Linked DNA regions of Notamacropus eugenii. The protein of the gene in region 1 purifies or fractionates together with the protein of each later gene. This does not show direct contact. Links are inferred from orthologs where the notes say so. Each region holds a gene or a part of one and is shown on either strand. Other genes may lie near its edges.

What was found.
Region 2: the proteins of PPP2R2C (region 1) and CCT5 purify together in Homo sapiens (affinity purification with mass spectrometry; 4 studies listed by BioGRID and IntAct, counting the BioPlex papers as one, with this or other methods). This does not show direct contact. The link is inferred for Notamacropus eugenii from reciprocal best matches to the Homo sapiens genes PPP2R2C and CCT5.

Annotation. Positions count from the first base shown.
Region 1 is NC_092877.1:59,217,012-59,227,676, reverse strand, and holds the start of PPP2R2C (protein phosphatase 2, regulatory subunit B, gamma), read right to left. Parts: upstream 3,963-10,665; 5' UTR 3,818-3,962; coding exon 3,802-3,817; intron 3,586-3,801; exon of another isoform or gene 3,581-3,585; coding exon 3,500-3,580; intron 1-3,499. UniProt on the Homo sapiens protein: The B regulatory subunit might modulate substrate selectivity and catalytic activity, and might also direct the localization of the catalytic enzyme to a particular subcellular compartment.
Region 2 is NC_092875.1:359,481,635-359,491,959, reverse strand, and holds the start of CCT5 (T-complex protein 1 subunit epsilon), read right to left. Parts: upstream 4,559-10,325; 5' UTR 4,445-4,558; coding exon 4,340-4,444; intron 1-4,339. Other genes in the region: ATPSCKMT (ATP synthase subunit C lysine N-methyltransferase), read left to right, coding at 4,829-4,921, 5,863-5,986. UniProt on the Homo sapiens protein: Component of the chaperonin-containing T-complex (TRiC), a molecular chaperone complex that assists the folding of actin, tubulin and other proteins upon ATP hydrolysis.

The sequences.
Region 1 (10,665 bases):
TCTCTGGGGTCATTGTTTGAAAAAGAAAATACACGCATATACACACAAACAACAAAACTACTATTAAGTTCATTAAAACACAGCATCTCACAGTGTTTGGGTAACTACCAACAGAACATTTGTGAGTTACCAATATTTACTAGGGCCCATAGCGAAAAAGAAGGCTAGAGAAGCCACAATGGAAACAGGAGAACAATTCTATCCCTCAGGGCATTTGAGGAGTTTATAGTCTAACTCTGAAGTTGACAATGACCTCAGGAAGAATGATACTCAGAACCTAAGCAAAACTTCTAGAAGAAGGCCCATAGAGAAATCTATTATCTTGATGAACAAAGCTTTTCATTGGTAAACACTTTCTTTGTAGGAATGCAACGTCATGGAACCTCAACATCTCTAAGTTAGAAGGGACCTCGGAAGTTAGCTAGTCCAATGCCCACCAGACCTCTACAACCTTCCCAGCAAGTGATCATTCTGTATCCCCTTGAAAACCTTCAGGAAGGGAACCCAGTATCTCTTAAGCCAAACCACTCAATTTTGGAACATCTCTAAGAGTTGTTTGGTACCTAAAGGGTAATCCCACCCACTTAGTTTTGCAAAAATAATTAAGACCAACAAAGTGACAAGGGAAAACAAGCATCAGGTATAAAAGGAAAGTATAATTATGGGAAAGCCTATCTAGAGTCAAAAAGGTCTGTCTTCAAATGCTGATTTTGTTACTTTGGTGCCTCTGTGTTGGTGAACAAGTCATTTCACTGCGCTAGGTCTCAGTTTCCTAACCTGTAAAATTAGAAGATTGGACTTGATGATCTCTAAGTTTCCTTCCAACTCTAAATCCTATAATCTTATTTCACTGACATAGCCAGCAAAACATTGTCCTTGACCAGCATCTTGCAGGATCTCACACATCATCTCATCTCATACACCATCTGGTTCAAGCAGTAGCTGCCCTTGAATCCTTCAGTGACATCTCTAGGTAGTGGTCCTCTAGCCTTCATATGACAACCTTAGATGAGGAAAGAATCAACTTCTAGTCAAGGCGGTCTGTTTAAATTTGGATGCCTCTAATTAAGATTGTGTTCCCTTAAATCAAGCTGAAATCTGCTTTTCTACTAATTCCATCTAGTGCTTGTGGTTCTACCACATGAGGACCAATAGAACAGGTCAGATCCCACATGCAAATATTTGAAAAGAGCTATGATATTTCCATTTGGTCTCCTCTTATTTAGGATCCAGAGCCCCAATTCATTCCACTGAGCCTGATATGGGTTAGGTTTGGGGTTAAAGCACAGTGTTCTTTGCATTACAAAAGACACACTGTGGTTTTCACCTGCACAATGGAAGGAACCCTGAGGATACTTAGCCCAGGAAAAAAAGACATGGGGAAGGGGCCATGAGAGGTGCCTTAAAGTCTATTAATGGCTATATGTGGGGAAAGGATTAAATTTATGCTTGGTCCTGAAGGACAAGACATACCAATAGGCTGAAGTTTCAGGAAGGGAAACTAGTTCAGTATAAGGATCACCGGAGGCTCATAAGTTTTGAACTAGAAAGAACCTTGGAGATCACTTAGTTCAACCCTTCTTTCTATAGGTAAAGAAACTACAGCTCAGGGGTTGAGTGACTTGTCGCCCAGAATCCAACAGCTAGTCAATGTCAGAATCAGGATTTGAACTCAGGTCTCCCCGGACTCCAAGGTCAGTTGACTTTTACTATACCAGCTAACCCTCTTTTCTAATAATTAGATCTGTTCAAACACAGAAAGTGATGGGGGTGGGAGGAGAAGAGGGAAAGGGTGACACAAGGGAGGTTGGAGAGAGGTCCTTGTCACAGTTCCTCAGGTGAGCTGATGACTTGTCAGAAGTGCTAGAGACAAGATCCATACTTTGCATGGGAGTTAGACTAGATAAGCCCTTCATTCCTTTCCATCTCAGAAATTCTAAGTCTATGACTACGAAAGAGAAAACTCTACTTGGAGCTTACTACAGATGGTCACCTTGTTCCTTCACATGAAAGTCTCTCCTGAGCTGTGTCTAAGGTAATGTCAACTTGAAAAACATAACATTGAAGTCTTCCATCATGAATCCCGATGTTATGTCATTGTACTGCGTAGGAGTTGGGAAACGGAGAAGGCATTTCCTAAGCAGTCTCACAAAGGAGCAGGACTTTTAAATGTGAATGAAGTCCATAGAAATAAAATTTTAAACAGATCACATAGCCTTGCAAATAAAAGTTCCTTTCAAGGGGGAGAGGGAGGACTCCATACCTTTCATAGTACATGAAACCAGGTTGGATAGTTACATACTTGTCAAAAAAAGGTTTTAATTTCCAGCAATAATCTCTCCTCCTCCCTGTTTTAGCTGACGATGCAAAAAAAAATAAATAAATGTTTCTCAGTGCCTGGAAACACACTGTTGCATACAGATGGAGTTTCCTTTTAAGACTTTTCAGCATTCAAATGCCTGGAATCATCCTTCCATTTCTAAGGACTGTTCTGTTCTGTCTGACCACACAATCTTGCCCCTATTGGTGTAAGAAATTTCTCAGCAGTTCCTGCCATCTGGAAAGCCCTTTTAGTATCTCTGCCCACTGATCCCACATTCTCTTCCAAATCTCAGCAGAAAACAGATTGTTGGGGTTTTGGTTGTTTTTTTTAGAGGGGGGTCATGTTATTTTTATCTACACATTCTCTTTCAACTGCCCCTCCTTCAGCTACTGTCTCTTTGACTTTGGCCAAGGCACCACCCCTCTCTGAGCCTCAGTTTCCCTCTTCTGTAAAGTAAGGGGTAGAGTAAAGTGCACAAGATGATCTCAAGACACTTTAAGCCCTATGACCCTATGGCTCCAAATGTAATTTCTTGGCCTTCATAGGATTTAGAGTTAAAAGGGACCTAGGAGATCACCTTGTTCAACCCTCTCATTTTACAGAGAAGGAAACTGAGACATGGAGAAGGAAAAGTGACTAGTGTAATTCACAGGAAAGCAGGTAGCCCAAATAAAAATAGTCCACAATTCTAGTGCTGCTTGGCAAGGTCTCTCGATCTCTCGATTCCCCAAACCACTTCGGAAATATGGCCTGGAGAGACTAAAAAAATCATTCACCCATTCCTCTCTGGTTCCAACTCGGACATAGGATCAAATGCAGCTGAAATCCTGTTGCCAGTCTCTAATACTCACTCTCCTGGAGCTAAGTACTTCTCTTCAGTCACCAACCCAAAATTAACACCTCTCCCAACCACTCCCCATTCTTCCATCCATCCCTCCTCTCCTACCCTCCCCCCACATACACACACACCTCCATCTGAGCCACTCTGACCAGACGAGGACACCACCAGAACCTTTCAGGGTGACCAGGAGCTCCAAGACTGACCTGGTCCGTGTAGGCGCGGCCTCCCCGCCTTCCCACTCTCCAACCCTGAGAGAATTCCCGCGAACCACAGCCTAGCCCCAGCTAGTCGAGATTAGCTTCCACTATCAGTGAGCTGGGTTTACTGTCCCTTACCTTCGGAGACTTCAAACTCGGCTGTCCCATTGAGCTGATACAAGCACCAGTCAACTTCCTCTTCGCCTGGGGGGCCGCCAACTAGCACACAGAGAAGGGAAAGCTCAGTCAGTAACTTTAGACCCGGCTAGGAGCCCGCGCCTCTGGCCCCCAGCTGCGGAGGGCAGGCTGGCAGGCGGGCTGGGAGGGCTCGAGGGAAGGGTGGGATGGGGAGCATCAGCTGGGAAGAGGGGGTGGGGTAGGGGCGGGGAAGACGAGGCAAAAAGAGAAGAAGAAAAAGAAAAAAGCAGCAGCTAACTAACCCGGCTTCTGTGACATGAGTCTGCCGGAGACTCCTGGCAGGAGGGTTGGCCAAGAAGGAGTGCGCTCCGAGGTTGTTTCGGTGTCGGAGCCAAGGGCTCCCTGGGGTGGGCGCGCAGGGCGCCAGGCGCTGCTCCTGCTCCCCCTCCTGCTGCCAGCCCTCTCCCTCCTCCTGGCAGCCCTCACCCTCCTCCTCCTCCTCCACCCCACCTCCTCCCAGCTTTGGCCCTCTCCTTCCTCCTCCTAGCTTTCCCCCTCTCCTCCGCGTCCTCCTCCCTCCTCTCCTCCCGGCAGAGCTGGGTGGTACAGGCGGGCAGCGCAGACCTAAGCAGCTGCCCGGGGGAGGAAGCGGAGGAGGGCGGGGAAGGCTGGAGGCAGGGAAGGCGGCTCCACTCCAGCTCGGGCTCCGCCCGGAGGGCGGGGAGGGAGCCTGGGCGCCTGCCTGGGGTCTCCAAGGTTCTGCTCGCTGTCATTCTTAGCTCGAGCCAAGCCCCAACAGGTGGATGGATGGTTGTGTACCCATTCGGATCTCAGGAGAGTCAGGGCGGGGGAAGGGGGCGAAAGCGACCCTTCCATGACCTCTCCCCTGGGGAGAAATAAAACTAGGGACCCCGAAGATCATCACTCCGCCGCCCCCTGCCCTTATCCCCTCTTCTGCCAACTAGGAGTGTGGAGAAGGAATGACAAGTAGCCGAAAGCTAGCAGGGCATCTTGGGGTCAGGAAGCAAAGGGAGGTAGGAAAACGAACCCTGGCTTTAAAGTCAGAGGACCTGGATTCGACTCCCTGTCTTGCGGAGTCAGGTTGTGCCTCGGTAAAAAGAGGTGAACCTTTCCAGCTCTCAAGCCCCGGAAGGATTCTTTTCTTCCTTCCTAGACTTAAGTTATGGGGAGATGGCTTAGTGTTTAAAATCTTCTGCACCTGGTTGGCAACTTTCACAGAAATGGGTACCCTATGCCACTCTGGCCCACGTGTTTGTTTTGATGAGTCTGATTTCTCTGGCTCAAGTTCCTTAAGAAAGAGAGAAACGGAGGGAATCTTTCTTCTGACCTCGGGGTGCATGACAGGGGAGGATATTACCTCCCATGTGTTATCTAAGGCTGTCTAATAAAGAGCCCCTTCTTCCCTCTTTCCCTGACTCATCGTGTAGGGCTGGCTCACAGAGTTCTGGGAGCAGAGAGAGGGGGCAGACAAGATAGGAATGCCAGGAATGATCCCGGGGCAGGAGAATTTGTTTCATATCCATGTTGGGCTGCTTGCTGAGGAAAGCAGGTATGGTGCACACCAAGTTTTTCAGAAAGCTCCAGTGCCGGGAGGAGGGTTAGGCAATGGAAGGAAAGAGAGACGGAGCATCAGAAGGAAGAGGATCCATGATGACTTGGGGAGAAAAAGGGGAAAGGTCCTTGGCTACATTTGTTTATTAGGACCACGGAATTTTGAGCTGGAAGGGAACACCAAATCCAAATATTTTAAGATAAGGAAACAGATTGAGAGGGATCCAAAATCAAACATGCAGCAAACTCCCAAACCAGGATCCAAGCCTAGTTTCTCCTCTGCCTAATTCCAGGGCTGTCTCCTTTATTTTAAGTGACTATAAGGTGGCTGGAAGGGCCTCCTGCCCCCTGATAAAACATCCTCACCACTGCCTCCTAGATGACTGAAATTCCACCAGAACTGTTATTCTATCAGATTTTTTTTCTTTGAAATGAAGCAGAGCATTTGTCCTCTTTTAAAATGTAAATGCCTTTGAGAAGTAAATCAGTTATGTCTTCACCTCTGTGAAAATTGGCTTCTCAGAGTCTTTCCAAGGAGAGCTCATCTCTGCAGCCCTTGAACAAAACACCTTCATTACAGCCCTGGGAAGTAGGGATGTGGGTGGTTGGGTGAGTAGGTAGATATTATTGTTCTAATTTTCCAGATGACAAAACTGAGGCCAGAGGTTGAGTGACTTGTATAATGTCACAGAGTTAGTGACTGATCATTGCAGCTGCAAGTTCAGGCCTTCTTTGGACTCTAAGAGCAAGGTTTTCCCATTACGTCCCTTTGCCTCCAAAGTATGCCCAACTTGGGCTTTTGAGTAAGTTTTGATGGGGGAAGGTGAAGAGAGCAGAGAATAAGAGGGCACTTAGGTACCTGAGACAAGAGGGCAAAAGAAACAAACCACTGAGGATCTAATGAGATTAGGTAATTAATTAATTGTTGCTTATATTGATCATATGTAATTAATTATTAAAGCCAACTATTATTAATTTCTATATTTATTAATTTTTGTTTTCCCAGGGTAGACTCTGATGGAGTCATTTCTTCAAATAGACAAAGGACCTTGCTACTACATTCTCAAAGCAGTCCTGGGGTAAAGAGGGAGGGAAATAACAGCATTTACAATATCTTGTTTTTCATCAGCCAACAACTTAGTCTGAAAATAGGAAGAGGATGGACCTCAGCATAAGCAAATTGGCAATTTGGGCATAAAGATTTGGGTCACAGTAACAATCTGGTTTCCTCCAGATCACTCTATTAAAGTGGCTCTCAAAATGACTAATCACCAACTCCAAGGTTCTAGTGGATCCCAGGCCTTAAACTCCTTTATCTCTCTCCTGTGTCTACCTCCCCCACTTCCTACTAAGGCCTTCTCCTCTAAGGCTATCTTCCATCTGCTCTGTATTTATTTGTCTCCTTCATTAGAATATAAGCTTCTTGAGGGTAGGAATTATTTTTGCTTTTTCTCTATCTCATCGGCACTTAGCATATGTTTATTATGTGCACATGATAAACTATTAAGAAATGCTAGTTTGTTGGTTGATGGATTGATTTGTCATTGTTCTACTCCCTCTTTCTTGAAATTCTTCACTCCCTTGGCTTTTGCTTTCCTGACTTTCTCAACCTCTTTGGCCAGTGGTCCCCTTTCCCACTCCCTAAAGGCAAATTCTCAATGGTACAGTTAACTTTCTCTCTTCCTCTTCTCCTCCAAACTATCCTACACACTGTTGCCCAAATAATAACAATCCTAACATGCACGTTTCTGGTCTTCTCACTCTTTGACTCAAAATGACTTCCCACTTCTCACTTTTGTTAAAATGGTTTAAGAGTCTTTGGCCTGGTATTCAAAGCCTTCCCCCAACTATGTTCTAACCTCAAGCTTCCTTTTTCTTGACCTTATGCTCTAGTCAAACAGTGATGTCCACTGCACTACCAAAACTTCCTATTTTCTTCTCCTGCCCTCATGCCTTTGTAAGCCTTATGCTATATCAGGGTAAATTGTTATTATTTCTTTACTAGATTGTAAAAGTAGCTTGGTATGGTAGCTTTAGGACCTAGGAAAACCTGGAGAAAAATCCACCTCCTTTTATTTACAAGTACTGTGTGATTCTGGGAAGACCTCTTAATCTCTCAGTCCCAGGCAAGACCATGAATTGCTGATCTTAGCTAGGGAGTTCACTATATAGATAATAATTAATCAGGGATTGGCTCAGTGTGAATGTAAATAGCAATTGTTTCTGTTTTGGCCAGAAACCCTGAGGTGCTTCTCCTCCCAGACAGATTTTTTTTTTCTAGGTAAAAGAGACCATTTTCTGCCTCATACCTTACCTATCCTTAATCACTGAATGAGCTTTGCCACTATCAAACTGAGACCTCTTAAAAATCTTTAAAAAGGTTAAGGTGTCCTACTGCATCCAGGGCTCTCTCTAGTCATCCGGATCTATATCTCACCACTGGACCCAGGTGACTCTGAAGGAGAAAGTGAGGCTGCTGACTTTGCACAGCCCTCCCTCACTTAAATCCAATTCACCTGCATGTCATGGCATCATCTCTCTGATGTCATGGTCCTTTTCTAGAACAAAAATAACAATAATAATTAACAAAAATAATAGCAATGACTATATAGTACCTACTATGTGCCAGGCACTGTGCTATGCACTTTGCAGATAATCTCCTTTAATCCTCAAACCACCCTGAAAGGTAGGTACTTATTATTCCCATTTTACTGATAAGGAAACTGAGGCAGTCACACAGCTAGTGTCAGAAGCCAGATTTGTATTCACATCTTGCTGACTCCAGACCCTCTGTTCTATCCACTGTACCACCTAGTTGCCTCTAATAGATTAAAATCACAAGTTTCAAGACAACAGAAAAAAACTAGATTGTATATTCAGAAAATGTATCTTATTTATCTTTGCACTCCCCAGATAGCAGGATAACTGGTCTGTACTTATCAAGGCTGCGTTGAGTGAATGAATCTGTAAGCAGCCTGGTATAGTGGAAAGATTACTGGATATAGAAACAATGGTGTTGGGTTCTGTCCCAACTCTTACTGACCCTGTCTGTTTGACATTGGCCAAATTATATCACCTCTTTGGGCCTCAGTTTCTTCATCTGTAAAGTAGTGATTAATATGTGCACCCCCTACCATGAAGAACTGTTGTAAAGGAATCATTTTGTCGACTTTGAGGTGATCTAGAAATGGTTTTTGTTATTATTAATAATCCTACTTTCCAAAAAAAAAGTCTCCTTAAGTTGTTCTAATTTTCAATGAAGTAGAAGGTTAGCATAGAAAAAGATGGGAGGAAAGGGGGGGGGGGTAGTGAAGGGAGTCTAGAGGTGTAAAGTGAGTAGAATTCCTGAACTGTTTGAGTCAAGCAAGAAAGAAAGAAAATACTGTGGGTATTTTCTACCCTAATGGGAAGAAGAGAAATAAAAGCTAGGACTTATGGGTTAAAACTTTTAATGGGGCCAAGCGTTTTTGAGGGAAAAGACAACTGAGTGAGGTTGGTGGGAAGTAGGGGGAAACTACAATAAAGAGAATTACATTTCTTGCCAGAACTATGTTTTGGCAGTCTCTCTACTAGGATACTATATTAGGTTTTTTTTTAGTGATGTTACTTAGGTTACTAGTACTGAGTGCTGTCAGAGGGAGACTCTGCCAAATTGGCTTTTCTTCCAAATTAAATGCAACACTAATGTTCCCAATTTGAATAAAAATACAAGAAATACCAAAGGGCTGGTGCTTAGAGATGAAAAGACATGTCCTCATTTCACAGAGTCAGTAGATTTGGTTTTCTGCCCCAGCTTTACTCTAACTTGGGATGAGTCCGGAAAACATACGTCATGAGCTGTATGGGGGAGAATGTGTCCAATTTGTATCATTTTCGACTGGCCATTTCCCAGCTTAGCAGGTGGGGCTTCGTCTGCAGTGGTCAAGTCCCAGGGCCAAGGTTCTGCATTGAGGCTGTGTGTGTGACATCTGTTCTCAAGAAGAAGACAAGAGATGCTTATTATAATGAGAACAGGAAAACAGGAATCTTTGCCATGGAAAAAAGCACTGGGCTAAGCTGGGCTAGCACTGGACTTGGATTCAGGAAGACAAGTTGAAATACATCCTCTACCACTTACTAGGGTGTCTATGGGCAAGTCACTTCATGTCTTACCCTCAGGTTCCTCATCTGTAAAATGGGTATAATAATAATATCCACACTACTTGCCTCACAGGGTTGTTGTAAAGAACAAGCTTTGTAAACTTTAAAGCACTGTATCATCTTAATAATAATTCGAGTATCTTGCTTTTATTCTGGCACTATCTGTATGATCTTGAGTAAGATAATTTCCTTCTCTGGGCTCAATTTACAGAAGCTCTATAAAATGAAAGAACTGAACTTGATAAACTCCATGGTGCCATTCATCTCTGATATTTTGTATTTTGAATCTAAGATACAGATTCTTAACCTAGGAGCTAGGAACTTGTTTTCTTTTTTCTTTTTCCACTTCATAGTATTTTAATTTTTTTCCAATTACATGTAAAGATTCATTTTCAACATTCACTTTTATAAGATTTTGGTTGTTTTCTTAATATTATGAAAACTGTATTTCAAGAGAACTGGTTTCCTTTGTAGTCCTATGTATTTTATTTTATGCATTTAAAAACATTCTGAGAAGGGGTCTGTAGGCTTCACCAGACAGCCAAAGGGTTCTAGGATATAAAAAAAGAGTAAGAACTATTCTTAGATCTCTTCTAGCTCTAAAATTCCACATTCAAAGATCCCTTATCTCCAACATTCTATGTTCTAAGCTTTCTTAGGTATCTCCCATTCTGTGTTCTACGTTGTGTTTTCTATATGGGTCTGGCTCTCACATTTTATGTTCTAAATGAGGTGTCTTTTAGCTTTGATGTTCTATGACTCCAAGCTATTTTGATTGTTTGCCAAGAAATCTAATCTCTTGAGTTGTAAATTAATGTTTCCAAAGACAATTGCTACATGGGGACACTGTAATCAGTCACAGACTGTAATTAGCCTTGGGCTCCCTCTGTGGAGTAGGCCAGGCAACATTTTGCTGTTATGGGGGAGGTGCACCTATAGCAGGCATTCTCAGCTTTTTTTGAGGCATGGACCCTCATGACAGGCTGGTGAAGCCTATGGACTCCTCAGAATTATGTTTCTAAATTCTTAAAGTAAAATACACAGGATTACAAACGAAACCACTTTAAAACAGTGAATTAAATTATCAAAAAATTATTTTTAAAAAAATTCATGCACCCCAAGTTAAGAACTTCTACAGAAGGAAATCCTTGAAATGTTCTATTCCAAAAATAAAACAAAATATTCTTTGGGTAATAGTTTCTAACTCCCATGGTAAGAAAGTTACAGATATATCGTTCTGTTGCTTGTCCTTTGTTCTCGAAGAGAATCATGACATCAGGACATGCAAGTGAATTGGATTTAAGTGAGAGAGGGCTGTGCAAAGTCACCCGCCTTACTTTCTCCTCCCGGGCCATCTGGGTCCAGTGGCTAGATAGAGATTGGGACAACTGATGATGGCCCCTGATGCGCTGGGAGATCTTGGCCTTTTTAAGCTAAGGTCTTTAACAGGTCTC
Region 2 (10,325 bases), on another chromosome or scaffold:
CCACTCTTTCATGGTTATTTTGTTTCTTCTTTTCCATCTCTGTTTAAGAACTTTGTTCAAGCTTATTATGTAACACTGTATTACTGCAAATAATTTCCTTGCTTCTGCCTTCAAATTTCCCTAAAATAAGGTTATCTTCCTGAAATTAAGTTTTGATCTTTAAGATCTTTGACCTGAAAAATAACACAATTTCCCAGGATAAAATTCAAACTCCTTAACCTTGCCTTCTTCACTATGTGGTTCCTATCTTTCTTCCCTATATTCTCTCCCCTACTATAGCCTACCTGTTGTTTTAAGACATCCCTTCCACTATTCTTTCCTGTCTTTGTTAGTGATACACATTCTATCTAGAAAAACTGCACTATCCTATCTCTTAATGGAAACTCTATGACCATTTTTCAACGTCAAGTTAAATAAATAAGCACCTCTAGGCAGAATTTTTGGATTCCAGGTCAGAAATAATCAGAACTATTTCTTCACCTAGACTGTTAACTCATGGCACTGCTGCCTTACGATATACTTTTTTTTTTTTGCAAATATTTCATCTCCATTAGATTTTAAGATCATGGAGGACAAGGACTATGCGTATATTTCCTTTATATCAAGTGTAGAAAACAATCACTAAATATTTAAGAGAATGAAATCAAACCAGTATAACCATTGCCCCAATAGCAAAATCAACTAATTCTGCACCAAAGATATACACAATTTTATTTTTCACTACAACCTTTGTGAGCGTTCAAATACAAGTGCTTTTCTTTTCATCCTGACAACTTGATACTCCAACACAATAGTCATCTTCCATGTCTCCCTATTTCAAACCATTTTATAATCCTTTTATGGGCCACACTCTTGGTTTTCATTTTTATCCAACAACAATAAGGGTCTTTGGAAGGCAAATACATTAGACAAACACACAGGTGAGACTTCAATCATTCCTCTAGATCACAGGTTCTTAGTCTTTTTTGTGGAGCCCATGGACTCCTCTGGTTGTTGGCTCCATGTTATGAATCCTTTCTCAGAAGTGAAGAAAACAATGTATCTCAGTTACAGGTTAAAAAACAGCCCCCACTCCAAGTCAACAACAACTTATTAACCACCTAAGTGCTGCCCCCCCCTCAAAAAAGGATGGAAATTTTTTTTTTCCAAAAAGCAGGGGGGAATACAAAGGAGCAAAAAAAAAAAAAAAACAAACCAAAAAAAACCCTCAGAAAATAAAACCAGTTATCATCCCTGATCTCAAGGGAACTTGCAGTCAAATGCAGAAGACAACATACAAACAAGTATGTACAAACAAGACACAGACATGAAAAAGTGAAGATCATCTCAGAGGGCAGTTCCTAAGACTAAGGAGGACTGAGAAAGTCTTTTTGTGGAAGGTGGGGCTTTAAATGAAACTTGAAAGGAGCCAGTGAAGACAAAGGACAGAGCTGAAGAGGCAAAGAAGAGTTCCAGGAATAGGGAACTACCAGTGAAAAAGCCAGGATTTGGGAGATGGACTGCCTTATCTGAGCAAGGAGGCCAGTTTCACTGTATTGAAGATAAAATTATTCCCCTATCCAAGTTCCTGAACCCAAAGAAAGATCTATGGACCTCTAGTTAAGAACTTACTCTAGATCAGTGGTTTTCGTTTGATTTCAGGAGCCCCTCATTCTTAAAATCAAAGCGCTCTCATCCTCCCTTCTCCCCCAGCTTCTATGAGTTACAGTCTAGCCATATTTACTCATTAGAAATTAACATATTAGTATTATGATGAAAAGTTTTGACTATGTGGATGTTTAGGGGACCCTGACCACACTTTGAGAACATACCCACACCGAGATCTCTGATCCATCTTTACCCTTTGTAAAAATATTTGAGGCAGTGGCCATTAAATATCCAAGAATCTAACTCAAAAAAGAAGCCAGTGATAAGTTGATATTTTTACTTGTTTCTTATTTCAGTCTTTTTGGAGAAAAAGGTAAATTCCTTAACTTTTACCTAGGGACTGATGTTTTAATGAGGAGCAGAGAGGGATTAAATAAAGGTCATTACTTTCACATCACTGAATTAATTTTTCTTGAAGTAGCCTAATCTGGGTGATGTTATAAGGACTTGCATAATATTATCCCTCTTTGCTCATTCACTATTGTTTCCCTGGAATTAATATCTAGCTAGAATCGAGAATAAGTCTGAAAAGGTTTGTCTATATCTTGTTATTCAGTTATTTCCAATTCTTTAGTAACTCAACTTGGGGTTTTCTTGGTCAAGATACTGGAGTGGTCAGCCATTTCCTTCTCCGGCTTGTTTTACAGATGAGAAACTGAGGCAGAGTTAAATAATGTGCCCAGGGTTATAAAGCTAGTAAGTATCTGAGGCTAGATTTGAACTGTGGTATTCCTGACTCCAAGTCTGGCAGTCTATCTACTACGCGGCCTAGTCTAGCTGCCCTATTAATGGATGCAAGATGAAAAGAAATTTATGCTAGAATAATGTTTCAGTATTTGTTCATTTAATCAATGGCTTATTTCAATATCAAAATAACATGAAGTCAATACCCTAAAGTTTACCTTACTTGTCACCATTTTATGTACCTATTTTACCACTTTGCATCTGCTTCCCTGCCTGGTTTTGAACTTAGAAGGAGTCCTCCTGACTCTAGGCCTAGGCATGCTTACCTACTTGGCCACCTAGCCTACATTACTTAACTGCTTGGGACTCAGCCTACTTTATTTAATAGCCTGAAAATTGGCTGAAAACAGTTAGATGCCTAGACTGTATCAAGCTTAATTAAAGGTCAACAGACCCAAAAGCATTGTTACAACTGAAGGTAGTTAGTGGGATACAGGTTGAAGGACAATAAGAGCTATGAAAATATACATACAATTCTTACAATATACCTTAATACTATGCTTAATACTAAAGATACAAGGAACTATTTGTTTTTTTAACATGAACATTTTCTCAAGTTCCTATTCCATAACGGAATTTGCCTAAGTTAACTTCTTTCACTCAAAAGAATTTCACTATTTCTTTTTATCAAAACCTATCTCCAAAGGCAAATTATAACAAAACAAGAATACTCATAAGTCCATAATTATGCAACAGGGGTATTTTAAAGTAGGCTACACTATGCCACAGGTAAAACCTGAACTCAGTCCATCCTGAATATAAGATCTATTCCTCTCAAGTTAAGGTTCAACTTTTGAAAAGCTCCTGCAAAACCTAACAATTATCCAGCATCTATGATGGCATTAGGTAAGCAACATTATACAAAGTAAATTCAATTTTTCATCTAAGTGCACTTACTTTGTAGATAAGACAGCATAGCCCCTATCTTTTTAAGCTTTTAAAGCTGTAATCACGGCTAATAAAAAGCCTACAGTTTGTCTGGAATCACCTCCTTTTCTATTCCTACTCCCAATACTTTAATCCAGATCCTTATTCTTTCTCACAGGGATACAAATAAATTGGCTTCCTGAGAGGTTTTTCCTGCCTCCAGCGTACTATGCTAAAATAATCCACAAATACACTTCCTGAAAACCTAGCAAAGTTAAGTACTGATTCCTTACCTTTCCAGAATTAAATCCTCCCACTTCCCTTATAGCCCATCCCTTCAAACTAATCTACTCCTTGTTTCTTTTAGATGCTCTGTTGCCTCCCTGACTTGTTTTATTCTCTTCCTACACCTTGCTGAAATCTTACACACACACACACGTTTTCCCCACTCCATCACGAGCTCAATCCACTAAGGCCAAGGAGCTTGTTTTATTTACCACACCTTTAAAGTACTAAATATGTAAGGATTACCGACAGTAGTACACTGGTGGGATCCAGGGGAGGGTACCCAGAAGGTACCGTTTCGGTTAAATGACTATAGTTACCTGTGGAATACGGCTCAAGTCTACAATAAATCTTTATTCATAAGGTGTCCCTACAGTCTTACTACAGTTTTAAGCTGTTAGATACACCCTGCAGAGGACATAAAAACACAAAAACTGGATCAGTGGAAGGTCTAAGTTCCCAAAACGTAATGCTATTCTCTTTTAGATAAAATCTAATAAAATATCAGCTTCTAAACTGTCCCACCCTCAGTAAACCCAGTAACCACTGTGGTCTCGCTGTTGGGAAGGGCCTAGGAAGCTCCTCTTTCTGGAGATCGGGGCGGGGGGTGGGGAAGGGTCACGCGTGAGTCTGGAGCGGGGTAGGGAGCTCACTGAGAATAAGGAATAAGGAGAACTTCTCGGTCTTTCCCCAGAGCACATGGCGGAACCCTTCCCCAACCCTTGCGCACGCGCAGAAGACACCGGTTCCCGGGGCCTCCCGTTTTTCGGGTGCCAACGATTCCGGGACCCGTTACCTTGAGGGCCTCAAGTCCCATAAGGCGGGACTTGCGCTCTTGGTCCTTGATGATGAGGAAAGGACGGCCATATTCGTCGAATGCCAGAGTACCCATGGAAGACATGGTCCAGCTAGAAAGGAATCCCTCCCAGCAACCGGCAGAGACGAACTAAGTAGGAGGGAAACCACTGCTCGCTCTCGCGACTGACGGTGTTTCGGCGCTTTGCGCAGGCGCAGTTGACGCTTTGTGATTTATTTTTCGATCGAGACTAATTTCACGCCAGGTAGCACTTTCTGGAATCAGCAACCCTTGGAGACAACCATTATGTAGAAAATGGCGGGGGGGAGGTTTGAAGACGCTGCCAAAGACTGATTGAAATCTCTTCCCCTGAACACAGATTTTCCCAAGAGACAAAGTGTTTTATTTCACCCTAAACCTGAAAGCGTCCCGAAATATCTGGATACTGAGGCAGAATAAATAGGTTGTCTCTTCTAAAGTCTTTTTCCTATGCCGACTCCCCTACCTATCCCGTGGAGATGGTCGTGCCTCTTCCAGCGGCTGCCGGAGTTCTCGCGATGGGGAAAGGAGGAGGAGGAGGAGGTGAGGCCAGTAGCGAGACGGCGGGTATCCCGGCGTGTTCAGGCTCCACCGCCGGCGGGAGGCAGTTTAGGAGGGCGGGGTGCTCGCTCAACCCTTTGCTTTGGCTACGAGTGTGGCGGCGCCTCCTTGCGCTCGGGGGTGGGGTGGGTGGGGAGCCTCGACTTCCCTCCTCTCTTGGGTGCGCGTGGCAGGCCGTGGCCGTTGGGAGCGCGCTCGGCCGTAAACGGCTCCGGACTGGGTTGGGCTCGAGCCGCGGGGCCCGGGATTGGGGGGCAGCTTGAGCCCATTAACGCGTAGCTGCCGGCTTCCTTTGAAAGCCAGTGGGTCTCGATTGTCTACTCCCCTGCCCCGATCCCCGGCCGCGGAGCACCGACGTCCCCTCGACGTCCCCCCGACATCCCCTCCGGTTCCCCATTGATTCTTAACGCGTCTCCGCTGTAGGAGTGGGAGGCTCCGGTGAGGGCAGAGCCTTCGCTCGGTTTAAGAACGTTGATTCAGCGTTTGTTAGGTTCAGGACGCCGTGCCCAGGCCCTGTTAACAATTTATTTGTTCCGCGCAGAGCTTGTTCGTGGGTTGTCTCCCCACTAGATGGTGAGCTCCCTGTGGGCAGGGACTGCCTGTTGCCCTTTGTGCGTGCCCTGCTCTCAGGGTGGTGCCGGGCACGTATTAAGCATGTTGACCTGAAAACTTTGTTAAAGAAAAGGCAGCAGGCTAAATAAATACATTTTATGATTTAATTAATTAATCAGTCCCCTATTAAAGAAACCGGTAACATAATGCATTATGGAGCCAGAAAGATGTGCTGGCTCCCCAGTACAGAAATCTTCTGGCCTATATACATTTTGCCATGAGAAAGGAGTTCTCTTAGATAAACACACTGTAAGCAAAGCAGCATCGGTTGGGTTTTATGATCCCAAGCTATGGGCATCTTCTTTCCGTAGCATGCCTTTGTGATTCAAGATAAGGAAAAAGTCCCATCACCCAGATTTCAGACATCCTGTCCTAAACAGGCCTTGGAAGTTGTTCATCTTAACAGAGTTGAGGAAGCTGAAGTTACAACCCAAGGTATCTGTGTTTTTCTCTTACCACTAGGATGCTAGAAGAAGGGTCTGGTAAGGAAGTCCCATTTGCTTGACATCAAAAGGCATCCTCTAAGTTAAACAAAGGGGACTGTTAGGTTCAGGCTCTTCTTAATTCAAACTTTGGCCCTTATTAAAGTCTAAAATATATATTAAATATTATCAAGCACTTAATGTTTACTGACTTGGCCTGAATCCCCAGCTTATCCCAGTGCCTGGCATCACGTAAGCTCTTAATAAATGCATGTTAACCGATGGAGCCAAACCCGTAGTGATTTATGTTGGTGAAATGAAATAAAGCAAGTGGAGAGGTCATCCTGCGCTGCCCTCGTGCTTCAGCAGGTCCCATGGGCCGGACCCATCACGACGCTTTAAACTTTGATAAGTTTGAGGGTCAGTGTGGTTTCCCATTTAGGACTTTAGGGTGGCTTAATAGTCTCATTAGTGGCATGTTGCTTTGAATTTACATTTTCTGTGGATTCACAAATTAGTAATGTAATAGAAATCAAGTATCCCAGAGTGCAAGGGGATTTTTAGTTTGGTACTTTTGAGTGATTTTTTTAAAACCACAAACATATTTGAAAAGAGCTTTGGACTGGAAGTCAGGAGAATATTTGGGTCTTAGTCCTAGCTTCCTCACTGTGGTCACTTTTCCTCTTGGAGCATCAGAGATCCTTAAGTTTTTAAAAAAATATATTTTCATAACGATTTTTTTTTTGTAATTCCATGTATTTTATATTCTTGAGAAGGGGTGCATGGGCATTACCAATTTACCAAGGGGATCCAGGACAAAAAGGTTGAAGTCAGTCAGCCAACTAGCCTAAGTGCCCTCCTATGTGGCAGGCACTTTGCTGAAGCTGTAAAATGATAATGATTCAGGGCTTGGTACTCAGGCAGCAGGGCCCTCAACTTCAGAAGCACTGCTTCCTGGGGTGGGTCAGATGGGAACATAAGACAGAAGACTATGATAATGGCCACTTAGTGTTTATTGAATTGGAACAAAGTACGCTTGGAAGCTTTTTATGTCTCCTAATAAACACAGTTCCCACGGGGTCAGAGTAGGTTTGAATCCTAGGTAAGTCTTATCCCTAGAAGGTTAGTCATAGAGTCAGCCTAGGAGAGTGTGTTCACCAAGATGTCTAGGATATGTTTGATGCTTTTGGTGAGTCTCAAGTTTGTAGCCCTACTGACATGACCTCAATAGCCCTTAATTCCAATTTTGCCCTCCACTTGTATAATTCAGTTCAATTCTGCAAACGTTTTAAAAAATTAAAATTTCATTGATATGTTTTATTCATAGCATATATTTTCTACTGAATTCCTTCTTCTTTCTCTTCCCAGAGAGCCATTTCTCATAATAAAATATAAGGAAGAAGGGGAAGAACCGTTTAGAACTAATCAATATGTTGAAAAAGGGTAGCAGTGTGTGCAATGTGCCAGAATCATAGCTCCCTCCCTCTACAAAGAAGGTTTGGGGAAGTACCTTCTCATTTCTCTTTTTTGGGGGCCAAACTTGGTCATTATAATTTCACAGTATTCATTTATTCTCTGTTTACTTGTCTGCAGTCATTGTGTGTTTTTTCCCTACCTCTGCTTTAGTACTGCTTTAGTTATTAACCTCCTACTGTGTGACAGGAGCTATGCTATGCTCCAGAGATTTAAGGAAAGGCAGAACACACCTACCCAGAAGGACCTCACAGTCTAATGGGAGAGACTGTGAACAAACAAGCCATAGATGGGAAAAATAGGAAATAACAGATGGAAGGCACTAGAATTAAAAGGGTTTGGGAAAGGCTTCCATTAAAAGGTAAGCTTTTAGTAGTGAAGTACTTGAAGGAAGCCAGGGAGACCAGGAGGCAGAGATGAATTCATGTAAATCTTTTCATGATTCTCTTTATCCATCATTCTTCATTATGGCACAGTTATTAATAGTAACAGGCTATTAGGGTTATATAATATCTCTAGGGTGTTCCAGAAATCATAGTGCAATTTTAAAAAAACTTGCATTAAGATTTAAAAACTTTAAGCTTTTTTTAAAGCTTTTGTTCTAATAGTTCTAATAGCTTAAACTGCCCATAAAGACTTTTTGAACACTACATACAAATAATTATAATAACATGCATGAGAGACTTGTATATTAAAGTGTTATATATGAGGTCACAAGGATAGGGAGAGGAGAGGAAGATCATTAAATCATTTGGCAAGTATTTTGTCTATATACACACACATACACATATGTATGAAAACACCTGTTCTGGGATGTAGGACTTGTTTGAGCATTTTCTGTATTGGTTCCTCCACTAATTTATTGAGTTATACATCCCAGATGAGCACTAGTCAAAGGACTAAGTTTCTGATATACTTATTTCCCCCACAGCTGTCATAGGCATAATCATCAAGTCATGAACCGGCATATCTACTTCCCATAGCAAAATATTCTTTAATTGTTGTTAATGTCTGGCTGACCTTGGGAATATTTCTATATCTCTTTAAATTGCAAGATATCTTTCTACAAACTCTTAGATTATACTTCTGGAGACAGCGTCTTTATTCCTTGGATCAGTCTTAAAAAATAGCTAATATTAAATTTGGTGGATTAATATATTCAGTAAATTCTTAAGTATTGTCTTATATTGGGGATTCAAAGATGTGTTAAAAACAACACGGTACCTGCCATCAAGGAACTTAACAGTCTTAATAGGCAAGACATGTACATAAATGTGTACTCTAAACTGTAAATTTGATGTGTATAAAGGATATTTTATCTTAAACTTCATATTTCCCCTATCCCTTAGTACATTACTTTTAAACAGTAGGTGTCTTACTAAACATTTCTGAATGAACAAAAGTGCCACAAGGTAGAATGTGATGAATACAAAGAAGTGGTTCAGATAAGTGGTATAGCACTATAGAAAATTGAAGGACCATATGTGTTTTTGGACATAGTCAATGTATGAATTTATTTTGCTTGACTGTATTTGTTACAAAGGTTTTGTTTATTATTGGGATAGGAATGGGGAGCGATGGAGGGCAAAATGGTGGATTTTTGATCCTTGCAAAAGATATACTTGGAGAACTCAGTCATAAGAAATGTGCTAGGTACTGTGCTGCAAGTAAACTCTCAAGGAGTTTACAGTTGAAGAAAGATACTGATATAAGATTGACTAGGAGAAAAATGCAAAAGAGAGGTATAAGCTTTAGGGAGAAATTTGAGAGAATGTAGGTAATGTTGCTAGTTTTGGTGTCTTTAATCCCTTCGGTATTGTTTGTCCCAGCATCAACAACTCAAGTGAATGTAAAGCTTCATAGTTTCCTACCTATCAAATAAGAAGTGAAAGCATTTTGCCTGCATATCATTTGTGAAACCTTATTCACTGGGTGAAAAGCGGAGTCAGTGACTCTAGAGTCTAGAATTTTCTTAGACGAAGTAGTTAGATATAATTACCTTGAGGGATAACTTTAGTCACTTGAAAATGGCAGGAAGTTCACAAAATTTCAGAATCTGATTTGAAAGAAATTTTGATGGTCATCTAATCCAGAATAGAAGTTCCTAATATAACAAATATTCTGGTAAGTGGTCACTCAGCTTCTGCTTGAAAACTTTTATTTATGGGGATATGGCTGATTCTTCAGGCAGCCCATTCTGCTTTTGGATAACTCTAATTTGGGGAGAAGTTTTTTCTTACACTAAATCTGCCCCTTCGTTAAATCTTCCACTTCATTGCTCCCATTACTGCTGTCAGGATCCAACCAGGATAAAGATGATTCCTTTTCTATATCTCTTAGGATACTTCAAAACAGCTATATTATTACCCTTGTCTACTTGTACTTCACATTGTCAATATTCTTTATACTTATTGATTGATTTTGTGTTACTTAAATTTGAGATTCATTCAGTATCATTCACCAATATTCAATAAACATTAAGTACCTGCTGTGTGCAGTTATGTTTTAAGTTCTGGGAAAGATGCAAGGTGCCCCTGTCCTCATGAAACTTAAAGTTTAGTAGAAGAATAAGACAAAAAGATGTATAGCTTAAAAAAAAAAGTATTATATGATGTGTATTAGAGGTATGAAATAGAGTACTATATGAAATTTTGAGGAGAAAAGTCATAATTTCTCATTTAGTATTGCACTTAATCTCCTAATTGATCTTTCTGATTCAAGTATCTCTTCCTTTCAATTCATTCTGTTTTTTGATTACTCTTTTTATCTCTTCTGGAATGCCATGGATACAGTAGTCAGGAAGTAACTTGCTAAACTGAATCTTAGGATATAGGACCCGAATCTAAGAAATGAATTGATGAATCCTTATTTATTAATGG